2 linked regions of the Caenorhabditis elegans genome follow. The protein of the gene in region 1 interacts with the protein of each later gene in a pairwise test. Each region holds a gene or a part of one and is shown on either strand. Other genes may lie near its edges.

Region 1 (7,375 bases):
GAAGTATAGAAACTGATAAAATAATACTCCCCGTACCTTATGCTTCTTGAGATTTCTCACACCCCAGCATAAAAATTGCACGTGGAATTTATCGAACTGTGGTCTGAACTCTGTTGGGATCTCACTTCTCTCCTTATAATTGTGTTTGCATTTTGGCTCCAGTGGAATCAAATCTTTATCTTCTTCTGAGTAAAGCTCGAAGCATGCAAGAACCGCTCCACGAGTACGTCCATTGGAGAACTTCAACGGAAACCATTGTGGCGTGCCACGAACATCCGTATTTCCGCAAATGACGTTTGGTTTGGTTTCGAAGTGTCCGAGGTTTGCCTCCTCATTGTTTGAGCACTCGCCAACGACTTCAACAGAGACAACTGGCGGGTATTTCATGATATCTCGAGTTCCACCAGCGATCAGAACTGACTTGAACATGACTGTCTCATTCCAAATTGGATTTTGAGAGTTGTCCACGAGAAGCGTCTGCTTTGAGTATTGTGCAAACGAAATGCGAACAAATGCCCGAGACGAGTTCTTGACAACTGGCAGCAAATCGTTTCCCCACATGATATAGCATCTCAGTTGCCATTTTCCAGTTTGCATTTGATATTCGTAAACGCGAAATCTTGGATCTTCACTGTCCGGGCTGAAAGTAAGATCGTACAATGAACTTTTCAAAAAGGAGATACTTACTCTTTGTTCTCAACTTCTCGTACATATCGTCTACGTCTGATCCGATCGGTTCGGTCTTCCAAATCGTGGTATGGGCCTTCCTTCTTGCTGGGGGAGTACTAAAAATTAATATTTATGAAAAAAGCATCAAAATGCTAGTCCCCGATAAGCTTTAGAAGCTTGTCAGCAACTATTTTCACAGTTGCATTTAGATCAGCATTCTATCTATCTGTGATTATTCAAAATTCCAACTAACCTCCCAATTCTCATTTCCCATCGTTGTCCGAAAATGCTCAAAGTCCTCCAACTCCTTGTTATAGCCTTCATGCTTCCTTGGCCTCTTGATACAACGCTTTCTGAAGTTGTGGTGAACTTTTTCTTCTCGGTCTGTCAGGACTCCGCTTCCAAAAAAGACACCATTCGTCGAGTACACCCATCCTTTTTCGTCTCCATTGTTTCGAAACTTGTCTTGAGCCCAAGAGCCTACTTCCCATCCTTTCGCATGTTTGTCAAGATCCTTGGGTTTCAACTCGTCGGCGTAGCAATCCGTGTACTTAAAGTGTTTCCACGTTCCGTCTTCAGTTCTCTTCTGGATTTCAAAAGCCTTGTCATGAACCGTGTGTTGTCCAAGTTTCGGTACAAACATATGACGAGTATTCATCACAATCCAGTGACCAACAGCATTCCATCCATTTTCGAGAGGCACTTCATTCGTCTTCTCCCATTTCCCATCGTAAATATCAGCTTCATCTTTCCATTTCAATGCGAGTCCCTTCGTCTGCACTTCGTACATTTCCATGAAACGACGGATGTCTGCGGGTTGTACGTGCTCCTTCCATTTTGTGAGCTGATCTGTACGTCCAAACCACATCTTTGCATGGAGTACTGCGACGTGCTGAAAGTAATTTGTATTGTCATATGGAATTGAGCTAGTTTATTGAATTACCTCTCTTTTCCTGTTTCTCTGATCCACCAAAGTCGGCCATTGAATATTTATAGCACGGGTCCTCCCACACCATTCTCCTGATTGAGCTTCATCATCCGATTGGAAAATCTCCGAAATCGGGATTTTGGCGAAACCGATCAACTTCCCATGGGACATCATTTTGATGAGAACGGGTGGAATGGTCATTTGAACATCTTCTGCCAACTCAAGAGTCATCGATCGAATTTTTAGAAGCATTCGGAGCAGCTTCGCATCGACTTCTCCATCAGAATAATCTATACTGAAGGCTTCCTTCTCAAAATGCTCTCGCAGCTTCAAGATCTTTTCCTTCCGGTAGTCAAGGATATGGCGATCCAGTGCGTTGCTGCTAACGGGGTTGATGCGTCTGAAAATATATTTTAAATTTGTGAAAAGTCTTAGTGACTCACCCCAAATACTTGCTAGCCGAATCAATTTGCTGCTCCAAGCACTCCAAAGCTTCCATTCCAACTGACGAAACATGGTCGATTGCTTTGTTTCCAATGCGTCGAACCTCCCAAATCATCGTATCAAGCATATTCGTCATTTTCATGAGAACATTGCTCATTTCAATCCGATGCTCAATAACTTCCCACGGAGCATTGACTTCGGCAACTGGTCGGAGATTTCCCCATGGCATCGTGAAGTACTTGCATCCATCCCAGTTTGGCTCTGCTGGCAGTGTTGAGCTATTGCATGATCTGAACTCGTTGCTCGTGCTTCCAAATGAACCGATTGACATCATTATGCAGACTGGATCGGATGCGAATTGAGGATTGATCATGTTGAGGCCACTCATGGAACAGAAGCAGTTGTACCATTCGAGATTTTTCTGAAATTCACAAAAAAGTTTAAGCAATGTTCTACAGAAGTTCTCTTGCATGGCTTTGCAATTATGTTTAATAACCCTAATGTCTACAGTAATCAAACATTTATGGTAACTGTTACAGAATTTGAACACAAAATGCAATTTCAAAATACAGTAAGTCTATATCCTACAGTAACCGTATAACATAATCTACAGTATACCTATAATATAATCACCAATAATTACATGAAACATTCAATATTGTCTCCAATTTTCAATAACTTACACAAATCGATTCGGCTTCCATAATTGGGGAATGATCAAGATGCATGATCTGAGCATTAGCCTTCTCCATATACTCTACACAATCGATCGCAATGAACAAACGCCCAACAAATCTGAAAATTAAACAAATTAGTTTAGTCTTCAACTCTCCAAGCCTACCTGCTCCCATCCTGCTGGGATCCTCGCATTTTTCTTGAGAAGATGCTGAATCGAGTCACGCGTTCGCAATCGAATACATTGAGAAACGCAGGTCCAAAAGTCGGAAGGTATCCAGTCTCTCCTGGCTCGTAAATCATTTTCATTGGAAGAGTGGCTTTTCCTATGCACGTTTTGCCTCGTCCCTTTTTGTCGAACAATGAGAAAATAATCTGAAAATCAGTTATAAAAATATCTTCGGAAATTGAAGAAAATAAGAGATAGGCAGGCATGTAGGCATAGACTGTCTACCATGTCTCAGAGACGCGAAAAAATACGGTCTTAAAATCCAAACTCATACCTCTGAGATGACAGTTGGCCATTGAATTGGAAGATAGATCTCTTGCTCAAACTTCACTGATGCGATGTTTGCATCTTCATCAAGAAACGCAGATTCCATTGTTGTTTCGGTCTTGTGTGCTCCACACTGAACCATCACATAGAATCTTTGCTTCTTCTTGATTTTCCTCTCATTGATCATCTGTCGGATGAGCTGTTCCACGGAGAACACTCTGATCTGAAATGAAAAGTTATTAGTAATTAAGCATCTTCAAGTACCGTACCTTAAGAGTATAATCAATGAGATGTGCTCCACTCCAGATTTGCTCCTTCCCATCGTCATCAATCAGCGTTGGTGGTGACTCGTCGATCCGGTACACAGAGAGCGTCACCTTCAGGAATCCACAGTTCTCATAGGCGATATCGTCCGGTTCCTCGTCATCCATTCCAGGAAATCCCAGAGCGACCCATTTTGCAATGACAGATCTGTCGGGAGAGTGAATTACTTCCGAGAGGTAGCAGCTGAACTCTCCGACGCTTGATTCACCAAGTGCTGTAGGACGCACGAGCTGGAAAGTTACATATTTGGAAATTACAGAGAACATGCTTAATCACTGATAACGCTTCAGAGCAACCAAAGAAAAATATTCCAATGTTTAAAAGTTTACCCGAAGAGTCAAAACTTTGGCAGCAAGCTTCTCCAGTGGCTGGTTCTTTATTGTGTAGAGAATATTTTGTCGCCACTTTGGAATTGCATGAGTAACTGTTCTTGTCATTTTTGAATTTCCGTCAAAGATCGTTCGAACTCTTGCGGATCCTGTGCTGACATCCTTTGCCTCAATAATTCGTACAAGAACATTCCAGGTACATGGCTTGTCAGTGTCCTGCAGTTTCCGTTTTCCAAAGCTTTTTCCATCATCTGGCAGCAGCTCGATGTCAGATCCACCGTCGTCCGATAGCTCCTGAAATTTGTAAATTAAAAAAAATCAAAACGTTCTCTCATTAATCTTATACTCAGTAACAAAATTGTGGCAGCTCTAATAACTCAAATTATCAAACTCGATTAGAAGCCGAAAATCGATAATCCTAAGAAATAAATGATTGATTTGAATGAAACTAGAACTTCATTATCATCCACTACCTACAAAACCGATACCAGTAAAATCGATTTTTGGTTTAAAAGATAACAGTTTCAATAAATAACTAGCAAACTATTGCGAAATATTATTGCCACGTAGATCTAATATTAGATATTATAATAAATCGATACTACCAAACTATGTCAACAATCGATAAAATCACTGTGGAACTATTTCGTACTAAACAAACAAGGAAAGGTCCATCTTTGTTCTGATTCTAAACTAATATTCCGAAACTAACAGTCATCTCCGATGTTCCCGTGCTCTTTCCCGATTTGCTCTTTTTGCTGGATTTGCTCGTCTTGCTTGTATTCCTCGATTCGTTATCCGAATCGTCTTCATCCCGATCTCTCTCCGGGCCGGAATCCTGAAATATTGCAAAATTTAAAGGAATTTAATAAAAATAAGACACACCACATCACTGGATGAATCCCCTCGCTTAAACTTTTGCTTCACTTTCAGTAGCTTTTCCTTGACCGTCATGTCGATTTGGTGGAAATTGAAAGAAATAACTTGGTTCCCGTGAAATTTTTGCAAGGGGTGTTGGATGACGTGGCAATAAATGTGGCAAAGCTGTGAAGACAAGAGAAGCACAGGTCACGTGAGAAAAGATACGTGATTCAACTTTTTTCACGTAAAACTTTTTTGTTTTTTTTCTCACGTATTTATTTTTGTTTCATTATTTTTCTGATTTTTAATTGTCAGCCAAATTGTAGTACGAAATTGGAATTCTCACTAGAAAAAGATGAAATTATCATGGTAGTGGACTAGTACGGTAGGAGTACTGTATTTTTATGCAAGCGCGAGTTGGGCGGGGAAAGAGGCGCCCCGTCACGCCTCGATCGGTTTTTTTGAGATGTTGTCAAAGTTGTCACTGTCTATAAGGAGTCGGCTGCGATTTTCGTTTGCCGAATATCAGTTTTCCAAAAGTTTTAAAAAAGATTTTTTATAAGAAAAAACGTGGTTTTTGATTTTTTTTTTTTTCCGTTTTCTTTAGACATACTTTGGAAATGTTGTTGCTCAAAATATTCATTGAAACTTTCGGGTGTGCTTCCTGGGTGCTCACTTCCTAATTCCCTACATTCATAATTCCGGATGACTCCATGTCATTTCCGTCGGCTCACATCACCGAATCCTCCCGCCTGTCAAACAAACGTGAAAAGATTATGCAATTGACAAAAGACATGAGTATCTTCAAAGGGAAACAAAATGTGTCTCCTGCTGAGATATCATCATCTGGTACGAAATCGAATGAGCACACCCCCATTTTGACAGACGGCCATATGCCTTTTGCAGAAAGGAGTTGACCCCCCACGGGTACCTCTAAAAGGCATGAAGCATTGTTGATTGACGAGCCGATTAGCGAATATTATTGAGGAAAGCTTTTGGATTGAAACCAATGTTATGTAATATGAATGATTAAATACTTTATGATTGTTGAATTATTTGAAGTTTGGCGAAACTGTAGTTATTGAAATTTTTGCCAAATGTGTGGCATTTGGAAAACAAAGATTTAAGCAGCAGTGAGGTATTTTTAAATAAAAAAAATATATCTCTTCTTTGTCACTACTTTTTATGTTCGTAAAATGAATCCATCGTTGGTTTTTACAGATGATCTCAAAATTTTCTAAGGGTATGTTAGTAATATTTTTCAAAGTGAAGGGCCTTTGTGACAAACTTCTCGGCCATCCTGTTGGAGTCCTAAATATATTTATTTTTAAACATCAATCAGCAAACTCTTAACAACAAGCATGATTTTTTTGAACATTTAGAAAATTAGATAAAAATTTGGATTCTTTATTTGCAGAGTCTTAGCTCTTCAGTTCAACGTTCCAAATTTCAAAAACCAAAAAAAGCATCTCAATTGAACAATTGTTGGCATGTTGTACAACAAAAAGGTCGAGAGGTGTCTGAAGTGACACGTGTCTTCCTATAAATTGCACTTGATAGACTGTAATGGGTACTGAGATTGAAAACACCTGTTTTGAGGGATATGGACACTTGGTACATATATGACTACTACATTTTACAGTCTTTAGTGAGATAATGTGGACATATGTTTGTGAATAATATGATGTAACTTTGAGACGATTCAGATTATGAATTCCATTAAAAATTGCAGTGCAAACCTTCAAATAATTTGCAGTGTTGTGGAAAACGGTAAAAGCATTATAATCATATATGAATGTCCCTCTCAGCCTTTTTAATAATAATTATTAAAAATAGTGTAACTCTGAAGAGGATAAAAATTAAGGAAATTTGGTCGGGATATTTTTTGTTCTAGAACTGTATTTTAGATCTAAAAAAACAGGTTGGAAAAATCTCAATTAAACATTTTTTAATGTAAACTTTGGTCACTTTAAACTTCATGCAAGATGCTGTCAAATATTCTAATTTTTATTTCTAAGGTCTTATTTTTCAATTTATTCAGTTCCAACTGATCAAAAAATCATTTCATTATTTGTGTAGTTTGTGTTTTGTTTCATGTATCCGAGGTCCAAAGTATTTCCAATCACTTTTTAATTGAAAAATCCAGAGATTATCCGCTTATATTCACAAATGTTCAAATTGATATATTTGGAGCATTGAGCACAAATAAACCTACTATTTAGTCACTAGAAAATAGACAGACGGCGTTGAAATTAGGTATGATGTAACAGGTCATGAACTGTGTCACCTGTCCCATCTGCCTGCATGATTGAGCGAGCTTAAACGGTGAGAGTACTGTAGATGGCTTATTGACAGATGAACAAAATTTGAAACTTTTTGAATCTCAATTTTTGAGATATAGCCACAGGTTTCTGTGTTGATGGTTTTCCACAGTTGAGCTACAGTACTCAATTTCGAGAGAAGCATCTACATCTACAGTTTTTCATAATTTCAAAAAATTTCCTACTTGAAATAATTGTTTAATAAAAAGTTATGTATAAAAAGTAATAATTGTTATGTTTCTAAACAAAAATCCATGTTTTTAAATCCTCTAATTTTACAATTTTTCATTGACTAAATATCAAAACGTGTTGTAAACTCAACCATAAC
Region 2 (6,409 bases), on another chromosome or scaffold:
AAATGTCTGGAAATAATAAATAAAAGCATTTTATAGTTCAGATCTCATGTGAAAATAAACTGTTTTCACAGTCTTATCACTTCCTCAATTTATTTTTTGTCTAGTATCTTGAAAATGAATCAACGTCGATCAATCAGTATCAGTGAGTGACCTTACAAGACAGGTTTCACTTCAATTCTCATAAAAAGAAATACAAGTTGGGAGATCAGAAACTAGTACAATGTGAAAAAGTGTTGCGAGAAATCCTATTATGAAACCATCGAAACTATAAAGTTATTTTCAAAAGCAACGTATTCGCGTTTTCGTCCTCATTTTCAGTTTATATGGGAACTGTTCACAGTTTACAGTGCTGAAATAATCAAAAGTTATATTCAACGATTAAAACAAATTATTTCAAATTAAAGTCAAAAAGTTGCAACTTCTCAGTTTACAGCTATCAAAATTCTTGGAAGTCAACCATTAAGATTGTTGCTCTACATTTATTGAAAACCCCAAATTTTACAGAAAATTTTAAAGCCTATTTATGTGAAATGAAATGGTTTCTGAAATATTCGCCTGACAATTACAAAAATCTTTTGGGGAAAATTTTTGTTTAAAAATAGGAAGAGAAAAATAACTTCGTTTTTGTTTTGAAGGCTATATAGTAAATTGACATCTATGTATGTGAATTACTTCGTCTGACATTGAGAAAAGGTGAGTAAAATGGAATTGTAAATGAGTGATAAAAAGACAAGAATTCGATTTTTCTGTCCTGTCGGGTGTGGTCTGTTTTTCTAAAAGAATTCTAACAAATTTCAGGTTCCGTGAGCGCAATTCGCGAAATGCAATTTGCAACGGAAGGGAAGAACTGTTTATGATTCTGTTTTGGGATACAAGTGAAGAATCAGAAATGCCCTTGTTCCAGAGGCTAATATTATGACGTGGCACTCGAATATCAAACAATGATTAATTGTTCTTTTTGTCCTTTGATTTGAAGGTATTTCTTCGCTTTAAAAACATTTGATATGAATTTCAGATGAAATCAAGTGTGAATAAGTACAGTGCTCCACATCGCATCGTCAGATTTCTCGTAATTTGAATCGTTCGAGAGATATGATTTCTCGATATGCTTCCAATCCTGCGGCTTATGGCCCCAAAAAGTCTTCTGGTCGCCCACCACTTTTTTCTGATCGGGACAAGCGGAATATCGTTTGTCGAGCATCCAATTCAACAGTGACTTGCTCGAAAATAAAGAGCGAGATGAACCTGCCAGTGTATGTTGAGACCGTACGACGAGTTCTTTCGAAGTCCCAATTTATTAAAAGAAGAAAATTGAGAAAGGCTCCATGCGTCACCAAAAAACACCGCCAAAATCGTATCCAGTTTGCGGATGCGATTACAGATATGTGATGAGGCGCGGTTTGATACCGTTTATCCGTCGAAACAGGTCCAGAAAATACACTTACCAACAAGATGGAGCGCCTTGTCACCGCGCGCGTCGTACAATCAAGTGGATAAGTGACAGAGGGCTCCCTGTTCCCGACTCGCCTGCCTGCTCCCCGGACATAAACATAATTTAAAACGTTTGGGGATTCATGATGAGAAAGATTTACGATGGAAACAATAGCAATGTTAACGACCTCAAAAGAGCAATTCTTGACGCATGGCATAAAGTTGACCAAACTCTCCTGGACAATCTTTAACTTTTCATGGATTCACGCGTTTTTGATGTGATTAGTACAAGAGCTCATCCCGTGGATTATTAATCATCTCTTGTTCCTTATTTTTCTAAGTTTTCCTACTTTTCTACCACCTGGCCGTATCATTTTGTGGAGTTTTTTAAATAGTTTTTCATGAAAAAATGTTTTTTTTTCTTTTTTACGAACGCTTCGGGTATATTTCCATCACTTATCTCAAAGCTAGCCAGTACAACGAACATTTTCACATGAAACTATGTTTTGCTATCTTAACCCAGTTTTGAGTTATACCAAAATTTAGGGGTGGCCGTATCATTTTGTGGAGCACTGTATATAGATACGAACAAAAATTAATTTAAAAAAAAACATCAAGGAAAGTTTCATTAAACCGAATCATTGAATCGATGACTGCGAACTTTGAGTACTTGATGGTTCCTCCTCAATTCTAACAAATCGATTCCGTTGCTGGGTGTTGACGTATCTGGAAAAATATCTGATTAGCTTATATACAAGAAAAATTTTCAGAAAGAAATACTTTATTGCGCACGTTTTGTAGTGCTAAACTGATTTTTAAACGAAATTCTAAAATACCTTATGTCGAAATGCAGACCATCCTGGGTGCTGGAATCAATTGGACACAGCCATAATCCCCATCCAAACACTGATTGAAAATTATTATATTTCCCCATATTGTAGTCAGCTGCATTATCAAATCTTAGAAGAGCTGGTTTTGTTTGTTCGACAGTTGTCTCGTTCAATGAGATCAATTGATAATGGAATATGATAAGTTCACCGAGTGGATAGTAACCAAACACTCCGCCGACAATAAAACTGAACAAGTAGAACAAAAACTTTCCCAATTCATCGGTCCATTGTTGATTGATAAAATATCGAACAGCACCTTCTAGTGAAGTGAGCAAATACCAATAAACAAGAAAACTGGTGTAGATAATGTAGAGTAGAAAGTACTTGTAATTGACGTGTGTAACACACATGTTTATCCATGGACAGTGATGATCATACTTAATGCAACACTTCCCACATGAGCTACAATGTCGGGCACGATCCGGTTTGATATGTCCGCACTCGTAACAATACTTGAGCCTTCCCACTTGATCACATTCAGCGACGACTACTTTACAGTAAGTACACATCTCCTCCAAAATAGTATTTTGTTGTGCAAGCTGAAAACTTTGTTGGTGTATTATATAAAGTGTATTTAGCATCCATAAAATAAACAAATAATAATAAAAAACAAAACAATCAAGACAAGATTAAACCACTTATTTTGATTTTTTCACTTTACCTGTTCAGGTGTCGATTTCTCTACCACGTATCGATTTTTCTCCATCGGTGTGACTGCTTTCAATCTATCTTCAAGTTCTTTACTAGGTCGATATCTTTCTGGAACTCTGCCAACTCTCGTGAACAACGTTTTTGCAAGACTCCACATTGACATAACAAACAGAAATGATCCAACAATCAAATAAATGGTTGCTTGAATTGTTGACTGAACGTAATAACCAATTGTCACTGTCACGTACATATAAAGTCTGCAAAAGACCCAGTTAAATGATTCGCAAACAATCAAGAATGACTCACGACCACCAGAGCAAAATAAGTTGAATGAAAAGAAGTACATTGAGACATCTCGTCAAAATCCATCCAGTGATTTTATGTTTAGCGCGGTATTCTCGCACTGCTACGTAAATCTTTGAATACCATGACATTGGTTTTCACTTTTAAATTTCTTGTCTAAATCATATAAACTTTATTTGGTTCAAATCATGTTCAAAAGAACTTACCAAACGACTTCCAAATGCAGAAATGATTGAGAAATATTCAAAAATTGTAAAAAATGTACTGCTGGATTGCGTGAAGTTTTATTTCATTTACCGCAGGAGTAAAAAAATACCGTGGCATTTAGAAATAATGTTTTGTGAAAAAAATTTATGGGACTTTATTTGTTGCTGATTATCGAAGAAATTATTTGGAAGTTAGAAGTAAATTATTTCAAGCATTATTATTATTTATTGTGAAAAAAATGAGAAAATTGTGTCATATATACAGAGAACTGATGTCAAAGTTACGCATTCGATGTCTACTTTCTCTTGCAACACTGTCCATTTCCACATGGAGAATAGTTTTGCTGGCACGAGCAGGAGTTGACTGATTGTGTCTGGCATGGCATCTGGGCTGGTTGAGCAGCAGAACAGGATTGAGAGCATGATTGGGTGCAAGCTGGAGCACATTGTTGCATTGGTTGTTGCTGCTGAACGCATTGCTGTTGGCATGATTGCTGGCATTGTGGTTCACATTGTGCAGATTGGGAGACTGAAGCTTCCAGAATGATTGTGACAGCTTGTGGAGCAGCAGTAGTGGCAACTGGAGCTTGGCATGCAGATTGGCATTGCTGGCATTGTGGAGCAGATGGTTGCTGGCACTGTGGAGTACATTGTTGTTGGCACTGTTGAGTTTGTTGGCACGAAGTCTGACATTGTTGGCAAGCTGGTGCAGATTGCTGTTGACATTGTGGAGCACACTGTTGCTGACAAACTGGAGCAGCTTGTTGGCAGGTATTCTGGCACTGCTGGCACTGTGGAGCTGATGGTTGTTGGCATTGTGGAGCACACTGTTGTTGGCATTGTGGAACTGCTTGCTGGCAGGTGGTCTGGCATTGCTGGGTGCATTGCTGATTGCACTGTTGGGCTGGAACTTGTTGTTGAACACATTGTTGTTGGCATGATTGCTGGCATTGAGGAACACACTGAGCAGAGATTTCCATGTTAATCTTGATTATTTGTGGAGCGGCAGTAGTGGTTGGAGCACATTGTTGAACACATTGTTGCTGACATTGTGGCTGACATTGTTGAATTGGTTGAGTTTGAACACATTGCTGTTGGCACTGTTGTTGGCATTGTGGCACGCATTGAACTGCAGCTGGAGTCTGGACAACACAGGATTGTTCACAGGCTGGCATGCAGGATGGTTGACATTGAACTGGAGCTGGAGTAGTTGGAGTATAACAGGAAGAAGTCTGACAGCTTTGTTGGCATGTAGATTGACATTGACTAACAGATGGAGCAGATTGACATTGGTTCTGGCAAGACTGCTGACAAGCTGGGGCACATTGAGAAGCTTGAATTTGGTAGGTTTGTTGCTGAACTGGTTGGGCACATGAACAGGATTTCTGGACTGGAGCAGTGTTCTGACAGGAACAACTGTACTGTTGTGGTTGAGTATAGGTGGTTCGTTGGCAAGAGCAACTTGGTTGAACTCTTGGAGCACAGCCACAGGATTGGCGTTTATCGCGAATTGTTGTTGCCTGGAAATGATTTTTGTGAAATTTGACTGAAATCGTGGTCAATCGTGGTCGACTGAAATCGTGGAATATATAATCTTATGTCTGCAAGCAATGCTCAAGAAAAACAAATATTTGTTAAATTTGGGTACTTAGCCGATTTTTTTGGATCGCCGCTCAGCCCTGTTCAACAACTATTTAAAATGAACATTTGGCTCAACAATACTATTAGATGGCCATTATACCTCAATAAGGAAACAGCTTGAAACAAGAAGAGCTGCAATTGCGAAGAAGCGCATGATACGGTTCGAAAGGATTGGAACAGATGATTTTCTCTAGTTTCCAGGCCTTTTATACTCACACTGTATGGTTAACCAAAGAACATAAACCCTGAATTCCCGCCTATTTATCTTAATGTAAAAAATGATGCGGAGGAGATCAACACTTTGATGGAAGCTTAGTGAGCAAAATGATAAGTGCGCGAACAGGGAAAAAGTAGTTTTATTTATGTCGTAATGAGTGGTCTTGAAAGTCGATAAACTTAAAGTGTACTTGTGAAATCAAATGTTCATCTCAAAATGTAAAAGACAAATATTTACCAGCAGTACCTAAAAAGGTAAACGATAACTTTGGTACATATAGTTAAGCAGAAACTCGTTTCGGTCAAACACACACCGTATCAGCACATTCCATTCGACGGAACGCGCACCCAACCTTTTTTCAATCTTTGCAACTCTCCGTGCTCCCAAAAAATAGTGTGTAAAACCATGAGACGGCACACGTGTTCTTCGGATCATTTGCTATGCCTCCATTGCTATGTTTGCGCTCGTCATGGAGCCGGTTGATGGATAGAGTCTGATAAGTGGGAAGCAACTTTCCGGTATGTGTTCGATGGTTAGTGAAAAAGTGTAGGAGAAGGTTGGTATAAAAGTCTGAAAGGTTGACAAAAGGACATCAGTTGCCGTCTAGCAGCTCTTCAAGCATATTAACAATGCGCTTTATCGCAATTGCAGCTCTTATTGCTTCTAGCGTTCTACTTGCCGAAGTACGTTTCTTATCACTTACGAATCACTGTTGTAAAATACATTAATAATTATATTTATCTTACAATACCATATAATTTTCAGGCAACAACAATTCGCGATAAACGCCAATCCTGTGGCTGTGCTCCAAGAGTTCAACCAAGTTGCTCTTGCCAACGAACCACCTATACTCAACCACAACAGTACAGTTGTTCCTGTCAGAACACTGCTCCAGTCCAGAAATCCTGTTCATGTGCCCAACCAGTTCAGCAACAAACCTACCAAATTCAAGCTTCTCAATGTGCCCCAGCTTGTCAGCAGTCTTGCCAGAACCAATGTCAATCTGCTCCATCTGTTAGTCAATGTCAATCTACATGCCAACAAAGCTGTCAGACTTCTTCCTGTTATAC

The links. Proteins that work in one complex are often made in the same cells at the same time.
Region 2: the proteins of fer-1 (region 1) and spe-10 interact in a two-hybrid assay, tested with the Caenorhabditis elegans proteins (one study listed by BioGRID).

Annotation. Positions count from the first base shown.
Region 1 is NC_003279.8:8,626,366-8,633,740, forward strand, and holds the start of fer-1 (Sperm vesicle fusion protein fer-1), read right to left. Parts: upstream 4,838-7,375; 5' UTR 4,820-4,837; coding exon 4,751-4,819; intron 4,704-4,750; coding exon 4,578-4,703; intron 4,160-4,577; coding exon 3,866-4,159; intron 3,767-3,865; coding exon 3,482-3,766; exon of another isoform or gene 3,436-3,481; coding exon 3,220-3,435; intron 3,092-3,219; coding exon 2,883-3,091; intron 2,837-2,882; coding exon 2,725-2,836; intron 2,463-2,724; coding exon 2,041-2,462; intron 1,998-2,040; coding exon 1,613-1,997; intron 1,562-1,612; coding exon 923-1,561; intron 786-922; coding exon 688-785; intron 641-687; coding exon 37-640; intron 1-36. UniProt on the Caenorhabditis elegans protein: Required for the fusion of the membranous organelles (MOs) with the plasma membrane, a process essential in spermiogenesis.
Region 2 is NC_003283.11:10,381,345-10,387,753, reverse strand, and holds spe-10 (Palmitoyltransferase spe-10), read right to left. Parts: upstream 3,505-6,409; 5' UTR 3,482-3,504; intron 3,432-3,481; 5' UTR 3,407-3,431; coding exon 3,279-3,406; intron 3,230-3,278; coding exon 2,983-3,229; intron 2,861-2,982; coding exon 2,268-2,860; intron 2,158-2,267; coding exon 2,070-2,157; 3' UTR 2,014-2,069; downstream 1-2,013. Other genes in the region: pqn-2 (Prion-like-(Q/N-rich)-domain-bearing protein), read right to left, coding at 3,778-5,001, 5,223-5,276; abu-1 (Activated in Blocked Unfolded protein response), read left to right, coding at 5,969-6,022, 6,105-6,409. UniProt on the Caenorhabditis elegans protein: Involved in spermatogenesis, specifically in the morphogenesis of fibrous body-membranous organelles (FB-MO), which are Golgi-derived organelles used for transporting sperm-specific components, in spermatocytes and in their localization into budding spermatids.